Linked DNA regions of Nothobranchius furzeri. The protein of the gene in region 3 purifies or fractionates together with the protein of the main gene of each other region. This does not show direct contact. Links are inferred from orthologs where the notes say so. Each region holds a gene or a part of one and is shown on either strand. Other genes may lie near its edges. The genes, in order: adar; znf346; interferon-induced, double-stranded RNA-activated protein kinase; stau2; dhx30.

Region 1 (3,132 bases), on a different chromosome or scaffold from region 3:
CTCTGTCTCAGGTGCGTCTCTGTCTCAGGTTTGTCTCTGTCCCAGGTGCGTCTGTCCCAGGTTTGTCTCTGTCTCAGGTGCGTCTGTCCCAGGTGTGTCTCTGTCTCAGGTGCGTCTGTCCCAGGTGTGTCTCTGTCTCAGGTGTGTCTGTCTCAGGTGCGTCTGTCCCAGGTATGTCTCTGTCTCAGGTGGGTCTCCGTCTCAGGTGTGTCTCTGTCTCAGGTGCGTCTGTCCCAGGTGTGTCTCTGTCTCAGGTGTGTCTGTCCCAGGTGCGTCTGTCCCAGGTTTGTCTCTGTCTCAGGTGCGTCTGTCCCAGGTGTGTCTCTGTCTCAGGTGCGTCTGTCTCAGGTGCGTCTGTCCCAGGTATGTCTCTGTCTCAGGTGGGTCTCCGTCTCAGGTGTGTCTCCGTCTCAGGTGCGTCTGTCCCAGGTGTGTCTCTGTCTCAGGTGTGTCTGTCTCAGGTGCGTCTGTCCCAGGTATGTCTCTGTCTCAGGTGGGTCTCCGTCTCAGGTGTGTCTCCGTCTCAGGTGTGTGACCGTCTCAGGTGCGTCTGTCTCAGGTGTGTTTCCAACAACAAAAACGATTCAGTGAAATAATTTCACCAAAACTTCTTGAAGCCCGCGGTTTTGGTCCAAATGGCGGTGCGATGTTCACAGAACAAAAACAAACTGAAACCTCTGATGTCATAAATGAAAAACTAATATTTGAGCTGCTTCGTTCAACGATTCAAAGTAAAAAACGTTCCTTTTGCACGTGTTTATCCAGCTCTGTCCTCACTATGACCTCACCAACGCTGCAGCCCCGCCCCCTCTGCAGCCTCCATCCAGCAGAAGACACTTCCAGCCTTCGAGTCTTTTTCCTATTTGACCCCCCCCCCCCCACACACACACACACACACACACCGGTCTACACCTCTCCCTGCTTCGACTCCCCCGGCCCCTCCTTTTTAACATTTCCATATCCCAGAAAGAGGCTCGCATCGCTGTTCCTGGTTCCGTCGGCCATCTCGAAACTCTTCTCCTCGAGCGGTTTGCCGATCCAGGCTCCGTAGCCGTGGACGCTAAGAGCTTTGAAGAACATTTGCTTGGCCAGCTGGAAGGACGTGGCCGACATCTTGGCCTGGGCGTAGGAGGGCAGGCTGAGGAGGTCTGGGCGGCTGCACCGCTGGCACAGCTGGCGGAACAGACCGAACAGGTTGGACTTGGACACCCGGGACACGGCCTGTTTGTTCCTGCAGGGAAACGTTTGGAGTAGTTTGGTATTAAAGCAGAAAAACGTTTTCCGTCACATGAATGAGAATTTAGAAGGCTCAACGCTCTTCTAAGACTTGCAGCCTCTAAAGCGAGCAGACCCGGTCCTCGAAGCGCACCGTCCTACATCTTTGCTCTGAAAGATCTGGTTTAAATCAAAAGCTCATTAACAGACTGAGATTTAGGGCACACTGAACCAGGAGAAACATCTAAAAGCAGAACAGAGGCGCCGAGGACCAGGACCGGACACGCTTTTGGACTGATGGCTTGCAGAAAACAAACAAACAACAATGCAAACATTAGGAACGGGTCTATTTACCCGTCCAGCTTTCCTTTGGTCCCATCCAGCACCTCCACACTCTGCTGGTCGGGTAGGCACCAGTTCACGCTGGACTCCTTCGTCTTCCCTGTGTGGCGCGTGGAGTCGTACACGCTGACTCTGCCCACCTACGGTCCAGCCAGGAGGAGAGACGTACGTTCAACATTTAACGCAGGTCAGAAAATTCCAATCGAGTGAGCGTCGGTGAAAGCCGCCGCGGCGTTCGGCGTCTTAAGAGGCGTGCAGCTGCCAGCGAGTGTATCCCTGTCATTTCTTCCAGGCGGCAGGACGGGGACTGCTCTACTTTTTGCTAATTGATGGACGAGTTTCATTTACATTAGATGAAAACAGCGGCGGGTCGGATTAATTATTGCATTTAATGAGTATGACCTCGATGTCTCTGATTCATGTTTGTGTCTGACTTTGCAGAAAATAAACTTGTACATCACCTCTGGGTGGTTCAACCGGAAGGAGGGCGGGAGGCTGTTGGAGAAGTCTTCACCGTCTCTGGCCAGCCTGCAGCAGACGGCGCGGGTCAGGTGACCGTGGCTGTACAGGTAACCTGGGAGGAGACGTGACGTCAGAGCCGGAGTCGTCTACCTCAGCGGACGTTAAATCTCACCAGCTTTACCGAGTGTGATGGACTTCAGGTAGATGGGATGCAAGAAGCAGGAGAGCAGCGCCCCCTGGAGGCCGAGCACGTTCCAGCGCATGATCTTATCACTGCAGCTCATGGTCCGCAGCCTTTCGCCGTGCTGGATGCCGTCCCAGGTGGGGACGATGGCACTGGACTCCACCGGGATGGTGCCCTCACCTGGAGACAGCAGCACACACACATGCAGGGACTCCAGCCGCCAGACCTGCTCTATAAAAACCATCACCGGGTGTCTCACCGTTCTCCACTTTGGTACGAAGCTTGCCCTGCTTCGCATTCTCAAACAGAGGCTGGTGGCCTTGAGCGTCGTCTCCCGCCTCGCTGCAGGACTTGTCGAACAGAGCTCCGTCCCCACAAGGCGCCGTGCTGCGGGTGAAAGAACGGGAATGAGACGCCGACGTCAACGGGAAACGCAGATTCGCCACATGGAGCATTCTCTCCACCTGATGTAGAGGTGAAAGGTGATGTCGGGTTTGATCTGGAGTTTGTTGTCCTCCCCCGGCTCAAATATGCTGTCGTCGGCGCCGTCGTAGTGCCTGAGCAGCTCGCTGTACAGAAACCTGAGAGCAGAGACGGCGAGTTAGACGCCAGAGTCATGCAGACTGCTTCCAGGAGAGGAGAGAGTATTTTTGGAAACGAGGGAGGAACATCAACAAGGGAGCATGATATCCGTTTCTACCGAACGAAGCCCCTTCTGGAGATGATTTCAGCATGGCAGTCGTTGACCGTCTCCCCTTTGAGGCTTAGCTCCTCCCCTTTGACACAACGGTTCCCTAACAGAAGAAAAAAAAAGGAGACGTACTGAAAGTCAAACCCTCTGGCAGCTCATTACCTCTGGGTTCTGCTGTGACCCGATTCTGGAGCTGTTAAAACCAGCTGACACGAGGGAAAACATGCACAAACGTCAC
Region 2 (3,519 bases), on a different chromosome or scaffold from region 3:
CCGCACCAGGTCGGTGCTAATGGTCTCATCTTATCCGTTTAAATGTGGTTAATTATATGTTTACCTGATTAATAAAAAAACTTTTCACAAATTTACAGGTTAATGATCATAGTCTTTACCACAGCTTAACCTTCTATTGTCTATGCTTTTGTAGCTTCGACGCTAAACGGCTACCCGTGCACCATCTGTAACATCGTGCTGAACTCTGTGGAGCAGTACCAGTCTCACATCAGTGGGGCTCGGCACAAGAACCAGTGAGTAAACCCAGGATGGTTAAAGCAGCAATTCAGAGTTTCCCCCTTTTCGCTGCATGGTGACGCAGTGGTTAGCACTGTTGCCTCGCAGCACGAAGGTTGCAGGTTCGAAACTCGGCTGCGGCCTTTCTGCGTGGAGTTGCGTGTTCTCCCCATGCATGCGTGGGTTTCCTCCGGGTACTCCGGTTTTCCCCACAGATCACAACATGCCCTATAGGTTATAAATTGTAAGTCGCTTTGGATAAAAGCGTCTGCCAAATAAATAAACATAACATAAACATTTTCACTAATTACAGTGCATCCGGAAAGTATTCCACTTTTTTCTTTATGTTACACCCTCATTCCAAAAAGGATTAAAGTCATTTTGCCCATAAAATTCAACACACAACACCCATAATGATAATGTGGAAAAAAGTGTCTTTGAAGTTGTTGCAAATTTATTAAAGGCTGGATGCACTGTATATCTAATTTTGATTTGAAAATCCATAATTTATAGTCTTACCCTATACCACGATGTAATGCAGGCATTACGTCATTTTTATTTTTGCTAAGCTCGTCCCCCATCCTCTAGAGCCCCATGCAATTTGAACTGAGTGCCGCTAAGCATTAACCAACAGTGTTGGACATCAGCTAACGTACAGATGTCAATCACAGAGCAGACATGAGTGTTTGAGAAAGTACCTAGACCGATGCTGAGTGGGGAACATTTCCTACAAACAATTAAGTCTTTTAAAAAATTATATATATATATATATATATATATATATATATATATATATATATACACACACACACACACACCTGTCTCATTCAATGTGTTGTCTTTATTTTCATGACCATTTACATTGGGAGATTCTCACTGAAGGCATCAAAACTCATTGGAAATAGATGGGATTGAAATTCAAAGAGTAAAAGAAACTAAATGTCGTGGAGTTTTTATTGATGAAGACTTGACATGGAAATCACATATTAGTTACATAAAAGGTAAAATTGCCAAATCCTTAGGCTTATTACATAACTAATTCTGGTTTGTTGGCATTAGGGGTTGTATGAACTAGTCGACTAGTCGACTTCATGGCTCTGTAGTGACTTTTTATGCCTGTCATCGACTAGTCGCTGTCAGGTGATAATGACTGACAAGATGCAGTCCACGGAAAAGACAGCAGGTGATGAGCCCCTGCGCATCGGGAGGCGGAGGCGACGCGCTGTGCCAGAGCGTCGGCACTGACACTGGCGGTAAAACGGACATTTAACCAAACTGTGACCTTTTCCCTCTTGCAATTTTACCTTCCCCTCACTCCCATCCTAATCTTAACCAGTTTGCGCATGCAAAGCTCTGATCGTTGACGCGCTCCAGACATCTGCGTCCTGAGCACCGCCAAATCAGGTGTCTCCACCTCAAAAACAAATTAAACACGCGATCGTTCATGTCGGCTCATTTCCTTTAATGTTTTCTGTCAGTTATTTGTGCCTGATGCGTTTCGCTGCTGCGGAGCGAGGCGCATCACCTGTTTTGTCCTCCGGTGACGCACCCCCAAAATTCCACTATCTCCGCTCCGGCACGAACTCCGCAGCAAAAACGCTCCCATTGTAGTCGGCCGGCGAGCAGCGGCACTCCGCTGTTTTTGCGGTCGGTAGATCTTTTAGAACTGCAGTTCAAAGGTAACTCATAAGGAAGGTGAATATATATGAACCCAAGTAGCAGTTTTTCTTTAGGATTGAGAGGAGATGCAGGAAGATAATTAACAGGCAGGACAGAAAAATAGTCAAATAAAAACAAGTTAGTTTTTGTACCTGGTGGTTGCAACAAACAGACACCATTGAAGGTAATCAGAAGTGAGGAACAGAAAATGAAATAATTATTTTAATGTTTAGAGCAGCAGGAACTCCAAGAGGCTGCAGGCGCATCAGTGAGTTTGCGGCCGCTGCGCAGGGGGAGGGGGGAGAGGGCTGAAGCAGAAACTACCGTTGTTAAAAGAAATGTGTTTAACTTTGAAAATGTGGGCGCAATTTTAATTGTCAAAAACTCCAGCGAACCATTAGTTCATTTTGCTCAAATAGAAATAGAGGCCTGCCTCTAATTCTGGCCCTCCTTCCAATAAAGGCCTGGAGCTTGATTAGCTTGAGTCAAATACAGGCCCGGGCCTGTATTAGAGGATTTACGGTAGTTGTTTCAGCTCTACTCACCACGGTCTCCAGCAGGTGATGGCGGGGCAGAGGAGCTTATTCTTGGTCCAGAGCCAGTCCGCAGCAGCGCAGTATACATAATTTGGTATATAAGTCGCTCCGTAGTATAAGTCGCAGGACCAGCCAGACTATGAAAAAGGGGCGACTTATAGTCCGGAAAATACGGTATATATAATTTTTTTCCCCTAGATGGTGTCATCTGAGAAAAAAAAACAATTTAGCCACTTTAACAGGATTTTTATATTCATGCTGTTATTTACCAATGAATTTTCAATATGTTCAACTTTTTATTACAATTTAAAACACAAAATACTTTAAAACTTGTTTTTCAGAGCAAAGAAATCATTCGTGAAGACCTCAGAGAACCAGCAACCAGCAGAACAATCACAAGGTGATGAGAACCAGTTCATGCCTGTGGAGGACCAGTACACTGCTGCAGATGAGCAGTATGCAGCAGAAGAAGACCAGTATGCACCAGAGGATTCCCAGTATGGAGCTGAAGAAGGCCAGTTTGAAAGCAACGACCAGTACGCTCCAGAGTACACTGAGTTTTCAGAGCAGTTCCAGTACACTTGAGGCTGGACCAGATTGGACTACAGAGGCTTGAGTCAGGACTTGGCTCGGCTCTCTCCAACCAGCCCCCCTTTAACACATTAATGATTCATCAGCACTCATCTACCTTCAGCTCCTGTCTGACTCTCCTCAGTGTAGCCGTCATGTACACCTGGACCCTGGAGCATCTCCTCAGTTTGCAGCTGAACTTTTTGGCTTGTGTTTTATTTTTCTTTAAAGAAGCAAGCTTTGTAATCAGTGAAATACAGATGTTAGTAGAGGTCCAGTGGTGATGCAGCTGCACGCTCAAAGGAATGCCTGTTTGGCTTTGCTTCTGTTCTGAACCAACACAGCGATGGGTGTACACCAAGGCTGGGTTATGTGAAGTATTACAACAATTAGACAAATTAATATCTTCCTTCAGTAGAGAAAAGATCATCCATTCCCCTCCAAATCTAAAAACGGAAACACATTTCTGTAAGTTTGCTAAATGACAACTGGTTCAAACTAAATTTTGTCTAGTTTT
Region 3 (4,232 bases):
ATATATATATATACAATGTGGAGTTATCTGTATTTGCAAATTAAATCTTTGTATTTAAATTTTATAATAGGAAATGATCTGTCAGTCTTTGTGGTGACGGCGCATAAAAATGGTCTCGTATATTTGCCTCAATAAAGTAAATCATGAACTTCCCTGGATTGGATGGGCAGATAGTCTTCTACTTTCTTGGTCTTAAAAATATTTTTTTTATTTATTATGTTTTAAAGATCTGCTCTTCAGTAAAAGTCACTTACCCCCAAATTCCACTACCTCCGCTCCGCTCCGGTCCGCCCCCGCCTTACGCAGCCGCTTGCTTCTGAACTCAATTTTTACTGGTGCGCGCTCTACAACGGCTCCGCTCCGGTGTGGAGACCTGAGGGGGGCAAACAAGCATGCGTGGGATTTTCGAGATCTTGCGATACAGTCTGAGCAATAAACGCGGAAGTTAGATCCAAACACCCGTTGTGTGGGAGAAGCATCGAAATGAACTGTTTAATCTGCCCATCATTTGTGTTGAGAGATCAGCAGTGTTTGGATCAACAAAGTGTGACTACTTTGATAGTAGAAACTGTATTTATGGCTTACTTTTGTGCATTTAAAGTTCAGCCGTCATTGATCGTTGTTAAAAGTTGTTAAACCTGTGCATATGAAACAAAAAACGCCTTTTGTTTATCGATTTATTGTGAAATAACGGAAGCTGTGCTTGCTCCTTTTCCTGTTGAGCGGTTGTGATTCCTGTCCATTGACTGCGGAGGTGCTCCGGCGTCCGGCGAAAATAGGCTCAATTCTATTTTTGCCGGACGCCGGAACAGAGGGCGGCGCACTGCGCCGCAGCACAGCCGCAGTAGTGGAATAGCTCTGATTGACTACAACGTTACCGATTTTACTGCGGAGTTCGTGCCGGAGCGGAGGTAGTGGAAATTGGGGGTTAGGGAAAAAGCATTCGTAACAAACACGTTGTAATACTTTTTTTTTTTTTCCAGAATTTAAGTTATCTGCATTTTTTAGGCATATTAATACAAATCTGAACATCATCAGAGAGGCCTAGCATTCTGCTGGGGGCAACTACGGTCAAGGGCCACAGTGGCCCTCGCCCCACATGTTGGACACCTGTTGTTATAAACAGCATTTATAAAGCATTGTCTCTAAGATGTTAAACAAATTACTCAATCAAAATTATTTACATTTGAAGTCTAAATTTGAATAAACTATCATTAGTCTGCTAACTTTAAATTTACTGACATAAATTATCTTGATCTTTTTCTTATTGTTGAAGGGATGAGAAGGTGATTCTTTTTAAATAAATGTATTTATACTTACTAGAAATGTAGTGTTTTATAATAGCTTTACAACACCAAAAGTTGCACCGGAACTGAGCGACCGACTCTTCCAGTTTCATTTTCGACCGAACCCGATAGATTGATGCCCAGAATCGAAACCAAGCGGCTGGACGGTTTCCGTCTGGAGGAGCCCGCAGAGCCGCCGCCGCGGAGGACCAGAGACACGAGTCTCAACCAGATTCCTCCTGTTTTCTGTCATTTGCTGCGTCATTACGATGGAGCCCTACAACGCTGTAGCTAAACTTCACGAATATGCGCAGAAAAATCGTCTGTTGCTGAATTATGAGGTCCTCGGTGTTGAAGGCCCCGACCACATTAAAAAGTAAGTCGGTTCCTAACTCGACTGGTGTGTGGCTTCAGGGGAACTTAACACGTTTATGCCATGGTTCGAGTTGAACTTTCATTGTAGCGTCTGTTCTAGAAGCTAAAGACACGGACTAGATGCTACTGTGGGAGGTTTTAGAAAACATGCTGTAAAATTATTTTCATATTTCAGTTCAACTGTCTGAATGTCCTAAAGCTGAACCCACTTCACGACGGCTACTACATTACCTTGCTGTTTAACCTGATTTGGTCACCGTTGTATATTTTGAGACTTTTGAGGACGCTGCTACCCAAGTTGGCCTCAAAGAAGAAACTTGATCATCATCATTGATCCAACTAGCTGAGGCAGATCTTCCTCAGAGGTTCTGGTCCATCCTGAAATGACAGCATCAGCTCCATCGGTGATGGACTGTGGTCTTTGATGGGAACCTCCAGTTCCACCACATCTCAAAGGTTCTGGACTGGACTATTGACTGGAGGTCATTGGAGTCCAGGAAACTCGTGGTCATGTTAACAAGTTAGAGCTGATCTGAGCTTTGGGACATGGTGCTGGAAGTAGCCATCAGAAGATGGGTCCATGTGGTCATAAAGGGAAGATGGACATGGGCAGCAGCCTGAGTCATTAGGCAGGATGGATCCATGATTTCATGGCATGGACACCAAATTGTGACCCGACCATGTGAATGTTGCAGCTGAAATCCAGACTCATCAGACAAGTAAAGGTTTTTCCAGACTAGTGGTCCGTTCTGGTGATCCTGTGTGTGTTTTGCTCATTTTGAGCTCTTCTCTGTAAATCCTAGAGATGGTTGTGGGTGAAAATCTCAGCAGGTTGTGAAACACGCATCAACCACCAACAACTATGCCACATTCAAAGCCCTTTAAATCACCCGTCTCCAATCTGGTTCTCAGTTTGAACTTCAACAAATCGTCTTCACCGTCTAGAGGCCCAATGTGTTGTATAATTGTTGTGATTGTTTGATTAGCCATTTGTGTTAACAAGCAGTAGACCTAATAAAGTGGCCATTAAGTCACTTAAATTATTATGATGTTAATTATATGACTTCACAATATATTCCCAGAGTCCCCAGTACTTTGTTAGGTTATAGCATGTTGTGCAAAGGGAAAAAGAAAAAATGTAAAATATCATCTTTGTTTGCTTTTATAAATGGTCTTTTTGCATAAAAGCATTATTACAACTTTTGTTAGATGTTATCTACAGTCCTAAAGTGAAGTGATGATATAGTAAATTGTATGAATGAGAGATTGATGATATCATTTCTCCACAGATTCACTCAGAGAGTTGTTCTAGATGGCAAAAAGTATCCATGTGGTGAGGGGAAAAGCAAGAAGGATGCCAAGCAAAATGCTGCTCATAATGCCCTGAAATGTCTGTGTGAAGATGGACATCTGGACTCTGTAAGAATATTACCTACTCAGCAATTACAAATAACAAAAGCTCATTTCCTTTACAAAATGAAATGTTGAATTTACTTAAACAGGCTATATCAGCTGGTTTCAGTAAACCTAGTTGCTTAAATGTAAAGAGTAGTATACTGTACATGTACTTGTAACAACAACAGTGAGTGTGTGTGTGCATATATATATATGTATATATATATATATATATATATATATATATATATATATATATATATCCAAATTTGAATACCGTCTAACTTCCTCTTAATTTTACCCCGGTATACGGTATTACCATGAATACTTAAAAAGTATGACGTAAGCCTCAAGTGGACCTTCACCTTTCTGAATCCGAATACCAAACACTAAAAAAAATAACAACGTAACTCACATACTATTAACAACATTTATTAACACAAAAAAACGCAGCTTATAAACAAGTGCAAAGAGTCAACAGTCCAACAGCAATAAGTCAACATGAAAACCCAGGACCGCTGTTGTGCACAAATCAAGTGAACAACTTACCAACGAGCAGCATGAAACAACAAGAGTTGAATAACCATAAACATTGAAATTATAAAAATTATTGCGACCAAAACAACTGAATTAAAATTATAAAAAGAAAACTCCGTCACACGGCCACACGCGTGCGGGTGCGCACACACACACACAGGAGTGTGAACATTACGGCATGTTGCAGCAAATCTAGTTCAGATTTCTCGCCAGAAAAACCAGCATGTTTACTTTTTCTGGGTTCAGATTTGCACGTTGTGGACCAACAACTTTACCTGCGGTGCTGAAAACCCGCTCTGATGGTGAGCTGGTGGCACAAATACATAGATGCCTCCGGGCCAGTCGTGACATCTGGGGAAAACGACTGGCAGCATATTTCCACCAGAGAAGAGGGTCTTCGTCCCCTTGAATGACAGGTTCCAAACAACACGCTGTTATTTCAGCTCCAGCTCGCTGCTCTGCGCCGACGGGACCCTCCGGCGCAGCGTCAGCGGCTCGTTTTTGCAGAAGAGCTCCCAGAGACATCTTTTTGCGTGGGGGTTCAGGTTGTGCTCGTTCCTCTATGGTTCGGATGGCCACTGCTTCAGGTGCTGCTTGCCCCTCTAAGCTCACGATCTCAGCCTGTAGTTCAGCTTTGAT
Region 4 (3,519 bases), on a different chromosome or scaffold from region 3:
TCCTTTCCAGAACTCCTGAATAGACTTTACCAAGGAGGCTCAGGAGTGTGATCCCCCAGGTAATGGACTTCATTCTGATATTTAACCATTATCAGACACTTGAACAGCGACTGTAGGAGACATGCTACAAATACTAAATTCTGTCACCAGCAGCAGTTGGGTCATGCTAGCGTCACCAAAATAATTAAAGGCAAAAAGTCCAGAGATACCTTTTCTCTCCAGCTGTCCCCTCCTTCTGTTTCACTCATCTCTCATCTTCTTTGCCTTTTTCTTCTCAACATATTCTGTTTATTACGTGTTTTCATTGGTGCCATTAAACCCCTGAACAGATGAACATTCGTCTTCACAGCCCTGTTTTCTCTCAGTGGAGCAGGCAACTGTTTTATACTACTATATTTCAGTTTGTCTGTTGGAGCTAGTAAAGACAGCACATGGTCTGGTTTCTGCAGCGCTAGGAGAAATATGGCTGTTGTAGGGAGACGCTCCTGCTGCAGCAGCATTCACTTAAACGACATAGCCAGAATCTCACTGGGGTGACACACAATTGTGAGGACAGTGTGCACATTGTCTGTGGGAATCACACAAAATTGGCACTTTGGACAAGTTTTATTTAAAGGTATTGGTCGCAGCGTGAGACATGTTGTGATTGCAAACATATTCTGACTGTTTTGCAAATGTTCTTGTTGCACTTTTGTGTCAATAAGTCTTAATCGTATTTCTATTTGCTTTCTACTCTTGTTTTATTAGCTATGTAGTTGCCAACTCCTCCCACAGTTGTCTCGCATTTCTCAGACTTTTATGACACACAGAAACTAAACTAAGAAAGGTAGACTCATTACATGCAAAGGCAGATGTTTGTTATAATTGTGATGATTGCAACTTGCAGCTTATGAAAACCCCAAATTCAAAATCTCAGACAATTAGAATATTGTAGGTTCAATATTCTAGACTCAAAGTGTCACACACTAATCAGCAAATGGATCCTAAACACCTGCAAAGGGTTCCTGAGCCTTTAGATGGTCTCTCAGTCTAAGTTGGATTACTGGCATAAATGGACTTTTGCTCCACATTCTCATTTTTTGAGTTTCACTTTTGTTTCTCATACTTTTTTAAGCAGACTTGTTTTCTCAGATATTAGCCTTTTCCTACAGAATGAAAGGTTTAAAGCAGGAATGTTTTGTCTTAGAGAGCACCATCTACAGGTGGAAATAATGTATTGCACTTTAATCCCTTCCGTGATTACTTCTGGAAGTAATGCCTCTCACTCGTTAAAGCCGTCAACAGAGCTAAAACACAATAATAAAATAACGTTTGAATAAGTTTAATTTTTTTGAGCTGGTTCAAAATTTCCCAACAACACGAGAGCAGAACTCGTGGGGACATTTTGGGAGCTCCTTCATGATTACCATTCAGAATTTATCACCAACAATTCCAGAGATATACTGGCTTAACTGGACTCGTCACAATTTTTACACAATAAACTTTAAGCAGTGCAATGCATACGGCCATAGAAGCACTACTTAGTGCAAATGTTGTGTAACCAACTGGCTTAAAAAACTTAACTCAGTGCGCTAATAAGTAGGTTTAATTGGAAATGTTTACTTCCTGAAGTGCCTTGAGAGGACTCTTTAATTGGTGCTTTGTAAATAAACTGAATTAAATTAGATTGAATTAAACTTGATTGGCTTAAGTTTGGTCATGTTTTGGATTTGGAAGAGAAGTGAAATCAGTAAATCTGATGTTTTTGTTTACTAAGTACATAAAAGTCAAGTTGATGTGTTTTTCTAAAACCTTGTTAAGATGGAATAATGCATGAAGTCTGATGGGTGGTAAAAATATGCAGCAGATCTTCTAAGTGTACCTGCTGTTGGCGTGTGTGTGTGTGTGTGTGTGTGTGTATGTGTGTGTGTGCGTGTGTGCACGCGCGTGTGTGTTTCCACATAAGGTACACCTTCTAAATTGTTTGTGTGCTAGCCGCGTCACTTGAATTAGACTTGTCCATTTTTATTAATGCATGTCACCCCAACTGTGATTCTCCAATTTTTTTTGTCCATCTCTGCTTTTATTCACCTCTCTCTCCCATCCCTCAGTCAAACTCGCCCTCTTTGTCTTTTCTTTCGTAATCCCCTTCTTTCACATGAGGAACAGAGCTTCTCTCAGCATCAGGCAGTAATTCAGCCTCAAACCTATTCTCCATGCCTCTTTGATGCACACATTAGGCCCTGTGTGTGTGCGTGTGTGTGCGTGTGTGTGTGTGTGTGTGTGTGTGTGTGTGTGTGTGTGTGTGTGTGTGTGTGTGTGTGTGTGTGTGTGTGTGTGTTCTTTTGTGCAGTCCACTCACTCTTCTAAAATTTCCACATTGTTTCCCCCTGTTAGGCAGCAGGGCTCAAATGAGCCTCTGTTTTCATCTCCTTTGTTTAAATCCATCTCTAGTTTGAGAATCAAACTCCACCTTAAAACAGATACCTTCAGTGGAGCTGATCGTTGTTTTAAAAGCTAATAAAAAAGTGGAAGTGTTCAGTGGTTCGGTGATTTATTTAGCTGTTTGCTCTCACTGTATGTCGTTGCCTGTGTCGTGTATTCAGAGCAGCACTCAAGCCTGTCGGGTCACTTTGAATAAGTGCGCCGATGCCTGGCTGTTCACATGCTCCGGCTCCCAGAGTGTTATTTGTACAGTGTAATTGTCTGTTTGCATAACATGACAATGTCCGATATGCTCTTGGAGATTTCTGCTTACATTCGCGTGGACAGATTTAATGCTCAGGGATTACCGAAAAACAAACACTTGACGTTGCGCGGCTGACTTGGCTCAGAAAGCGAGATCCCTCGGCTGAGAGGGAACGGGCATCAAAACGCTGGAGGGAGAAAAGTCACACAGAATGCATCAGCAAAGCCACAAAAACCCATTCTCCATTTCATGTACAGACGCTTGTTTGTGTGTTTCTTGGGTGCTCATGCAGGTGAAGGTGAATAACGAGGTTGCCACGGGAACAGGACCTAACAAGAAGGTGGCCAAGCGTAACGCTGCTGAGGCGATGCTGCTGCAGCTGGGATACAAGGCCTCCACTGTCCCTCAGAGCCCCTCAGAGGTACTCACCACACCCTTCAGCCAACTTTTACTTTTCATATTTGTTTTATATACAAACCTCTAGTTTTGTTAGTGTCTGTAACTATTTGTTTATGCTACATCATGATTACGGTAAGTTGTTCTAAACCGCTCTAAACTGTCATCACTTCACTCAAAGGGAGCTAAAGTTTGCCACTTGTGATTCTTTTTTTCCTTGATCATTGCAGATATACATTAAACATTTATGAAAGTCTGCTTAAAGCCATCTAATGAAATTGTAATCAACCTTTAACCATGCTTATATGAATTTACCCTGAGAGTCATTTCTGCTGCTCACCTTTTACAAAACTCCCTCATCTCCTCTGATCTGAGTGTTTGCAGACAACCATCATCTCTGTTCACCTCATCGGGTTTTAAGCTCTGTGGAGCAGAATCAGATATAGATCACGTTA
Region 5 (2,983 bases), on a different chromosome or scaffold from region 3:
CACTCAGGTCCTCCTTGGCCTGGACAAACCAAACACAAATGACTAAAAAGGAAATGTATTTATGTTTGTTTTGTAAACAAAGGAAAGAAATGCCAGAACCAGATTGAAACTTCCCAGAGAATACTGGATTTGTTATTTGTGTCATTAATGGGGAAACACACAAAAAGACCTACATTCCAAAACGGTAACAAGTCACCTCACCTTGTTGACAAGTGCCCGATTCTGCAGGCTGTTGAAAAACGGGTCTCTGGTGAGACAGGCAGCAACAGACAACATGGGCAGAACACATCTGAACACGGCACTCAGAACCAGAACTTTGCCCAGCCGCGGGTCACACGACATACAAGCGACCCGCTGGCCTAAAGGAGTCAGCGTCTCAGTCTTGTCCAGAACTCCTGTTAAAGCAGGACATGGTAGAGAATTTAAATCTATAAACCAGTTTCACTGATGGTTTCACTTCACTCACCAATATCTTGGAGATTCTGGACAGCGTCTCTCACTGCTTCTGGTTCTGGACTATCCAAAACTCGGGACAAGAAATCTCCAGCCTGCAGGCACAAACAACAAGTTATTATTCTATTTAAAAAAATAAATAAATAAATAAAAATAAATAAATAAATCAGTAGGTCTCTTTAAAGTACCTTGCAGTTTGGACAGTGGATTTTCACCTGCAGCACCAAACTCTCCAGAGGGGTACGCAGGATCTCAGGAACAGGAAATGGAGTCATGGTCTCCAGCTGTTGCCTGGGAAACAGGTGGTAGGACCGTCCTGGCTGACAGCGTCCTGCTCGCCCCTTTCTTTGTGTGACGTTAGAGCGAGATATCCACACCGTATCTAGGCAGGACACCTGGAAAACCAAAGGAATGCAGACATTTTACTGGAGAAATAAACTAAAGCTAGCTTTGTTTGCTCGTGAATTCAGGCGGAAAATAAAAAACAACCTTCGTGCGTGGGTCATAATTCTGTTCTTTATGAGTTCCAGCATCCACCACATGAACAATGTCGTCGATGGTGATGGAGGTCTCAGCAATGTTAGTGGCAAGAACTATTTTCCTCTGGCCCACTTGGGGGCGCTGGAACACCACCTGCTGGTCAGCCACTGATAAGCTGGAGTGCACTAGAAATCAAATTTAAGCAGTTAGAACTCTGAAATTGGGGAAAGCAAATCCAGACGTGCTTGACGTTCTTACACGGCAGGACCATGTGGGAATCAGAGGGAGTTAGTCGTTTTGCTTCAAGTTTGTCTTGAACGGCTCTGATGTCTTGCCACCCAGGGAGGAAACACAGAATTGCTCCTGATGATCCGAAAAGAACGATTTAAAAACATATTTTAAAGAAAAAAGGCATTTTTTAAATGTTATTGAGCGTTAGGTACCTGGTTCTCCATGTTTGTCGATGTGCTCAATGACATCTGCTACCAGGTCTGGATCAGGTGCTGCCTCATCTGCTCCCTTCTTAGAAATCGGATAAAAACAAAACAGTCATTCCACTAAATTATATAATTCTAAATGAATAGAAAAGCTAAAACCTGATAATCCATCACCTTGTCTCTTGAAAGTGGGCGTCTCATCTCCCTCAGCACGTCCTCCAGGTAGTGATCTTTTACCGGGTGCATGAAGCCTGGTACCTTCACAATGGGACAACCCCCAAAATACTCAGCCAGCCTCTGGTTGTCTCCAGTAGCGCTCATTAGCACAACTCGTAGGTCTGGGTTTTCATCCAGGCTGGAGCGCAGCAAGGCCAGCAGCAGGTCCGTGTTCACGTCCCTCTCGTGGACCTCGTCCACCACGACGTGGCTGATTCCTTTCAGGGTGGGGTTTGACTGGAGCTTCCTCAGCAGGACGCCCACGGTGAGGAAGAGCATGGATCCTCCGCTGTGCTCAGGGGGTCTACTCTCAAGTCTCACCTAAGAACAGAAAAGTATCACTGTCTGCACCAAAACCCAACAATATACATTTAGTTTAACTTCACTAAATGTTTCAAACCTTTTCAAAAAGCTAAAAAAAAAGATGGTTTAAATAAAAACACAAAACAAAAAGAAGCATAAGAATACTCAAATAAACATGGTTCAGCTAAATGACAGCACAAAGAGCCTGTGCCTACCTGATATCCCACGCGGTGTTTAAGATGCGGCCCCATCTCATAAGCGACGCGTTGAGCCACCGACACCGCGCTGATCCGACGAGGCTGAGTCACCAGGACGTTGCACCAAGCGCCCTCACCTCCTCTCACCTGCTCCTCCAGCAGGAAGCGTGGGATGCGTGTTGTTTTGCCACATCCCGTCTCCCCAGCAATGACAACCACCCTGGAGGATCGCACAGCTGACACAACACGCTGGCGATGAGCATCCGCCGGCAATTCCACGCAGAGCCCGGGCTTTGCAGTCTCCCATTCCTGTTGCAGCTGGTGGCTGAGCTGTTGAGCTCGTTGTTCAGACAGCGCGCAGTATGGCCTGCCGGTAATAGCGTCTGTTATATAGTCTTCCTCCTCCTCCTCCTCTTCACACTGCTGATTCACCTGCTGCCCCGTTGCCTCTTCTTCTTCCCAAAGTTTCTGAACTTCTGTCGCCACTGGGTACTATCAAATAGATGCCATTTTGTTGTGTTAAAAGCCTTAAAGGGGCATTATGGAAGTTTGACAGCCAAAACATGTATAGAAATAATAAATTTCTTCTTCACACATTCTCCTGCAATGCCCTGGTCCTGTAGAATGAGCCCTGGCATTTTTACTGTGATTGCCTGTTTTTCTGTAAAATCACAGAAAAAGAGGTGCTCGGGTCGAGCAGGCTGCTTCATGCGCGTTCACGCTCAGGCATAGCCCGTAGCATTTGCTATCCGTAGCTTTAGCAGCAGAGAGAGGCAGTGCCACTTTGTTGCTGTTCCTAACGCCTAGTGACAAAGCTAGCTACATATCTGAGGACCCTTAGCTACTTTCTGTAGAACTTTCCTCTAGATATTTCCTGCAAATTAGCAACAAAATAGC

Evidence for each region.
Region 1: the proteins of interferon-induced, double-stranded RNA-activated protein kinase (region 3) and adar purify together in Homo sapiens (affinity purification with mass spectrometry; 3 studies listed by BioGRID and IntAct, with this or other methods). This does not show direct contact. The link is inferred for Nothobranchius furzeri from reciprocal best matches to the Homo sapiens genes EIF2AK2 and ADAR.
Region 2: the proteins of interferon-induced, double-stranded RNA-activated protein kinase (region 3) and znf346 purify together in Homo sapiens (affinity purification with mass spectrometry; 3 studies listed by BioGRID and IntAct, with this or other methods). This does not show direct contact. The link is inferred for Nothobranchius furzeri from reciprocal best matches to the Homo sapiens genes EIF2AK2 and ZNF346.
Region 4: the proteins of interferon-induced, double-stranded RNA-activated protein kinase (region 3) and stau2 purify together in Homo sapiens (affinity purification with mass spectrometry; 3 studies listed by BioGRID and IntAct, with this or other methods). This does not show direct contact. The link is inferred for Nothobranchius furzeri from reciprocal best matches to the Homo sapiens genes EIF2AK2 and STAU2.
Region 5: the proteins of interferon-induced, double-stranded RNA-activated protein kinase (region 3) and dhx30 purify together in Homo sapiens (affinity purification with mass spectrometry; 3 studies listed by BioGRID and IntAct, with this or other methods). This does not show direct contact. The link is inferred for Nothobranchius furzeri from reciprocal best matches to the Homo sapiens genes EIF2AK2 and DHX30.

Annotation. Positions count from the first base shown.
Region 1 is NC_091745.1:78,176,766-78,179,897, forward strand, and holds part of adar (double-stranded RNA-specific adenosine deaminase), read right to left. Parts: intron 2,998-3,132; coding exon 2,904-2,997; intron 2,785-2,903; coding exon 2,668-2,784; intron 2,591-2,667; coding exon 2,463-2,590; intron 2,384-2,462; coding exon 2,201-2,383; intron 2,132-2,200; coding exon 2,019-2,131; intron 1,698-2,018; coding exon 1,570-1,697; intron 1,232-1,569; coding exon 907-1,231; 3' UTR 1-906. UniProt on the Homo sapiens protein: Catalyzes the hydrolytic deamination of adenosine to inosine in double-stranded RNA (dsRNA) referred to as A-to-I RNA editing.
Region 2 is NC_091750.1:54,165,621-54,169,139, reverse strand, and holds part of znf346 (zinc finger protein 346), read left to right. Parts: coding exon 1-9; intron 10-154; coding exon 155-254; intron 255-2,773; coding exon 2,774-3,017; 3' UTR 3,018-3,519.
Region 3 is NC_091752.1:1,779,455-1,783,686, forward strand, and holds the start of interferon-induced, double-stranded RNA-activated protein kinase, read left to right. Parts: upstream 1-1,423; 5' UTR 1,424-1,555; coding exon 1,556-1,662; intron 1,663-2,950; coding exon 2,951-3,080; intron 3,081-4,232.
Region 4 is NC_091747.1:52,993,637-52,997,155, reverse strand, and holds part of stau2 (double-stranded RNA-binding protein Staufen homolog 2), read left to right. Parts: intron 1-2,960; coding exon 2,961-3,089; intron 3,090-3,519. UniProt on the Homo sapiens protein: RNA-binding protein required for the microtubule-dependent transport of neuronal RNA from the cell body to the dendrite.
Region 5 is NC_091751.1:51,205,356-51,208,338, forward strand, and holds part of dhx30 (ATP-dependent RNA helicase DHX30), read right to left. Parts: intron 2,579-2,983; coding exon 2,105-2,578; intron 1,908-2,104; coding exon 1,545-1,907; intron 1,456-1,544; coding exon 1,377-1,455; intron 1,297-1,376; coding exon 1,192-1,296; intron 1,119-1,191; coding exon 943-1,118; intron 849-942; coding exon 642-848; intron 549-641; coding exon 467-548; intron 396-466; coding exon 202-395; intron 20-201; coding exon 1-19.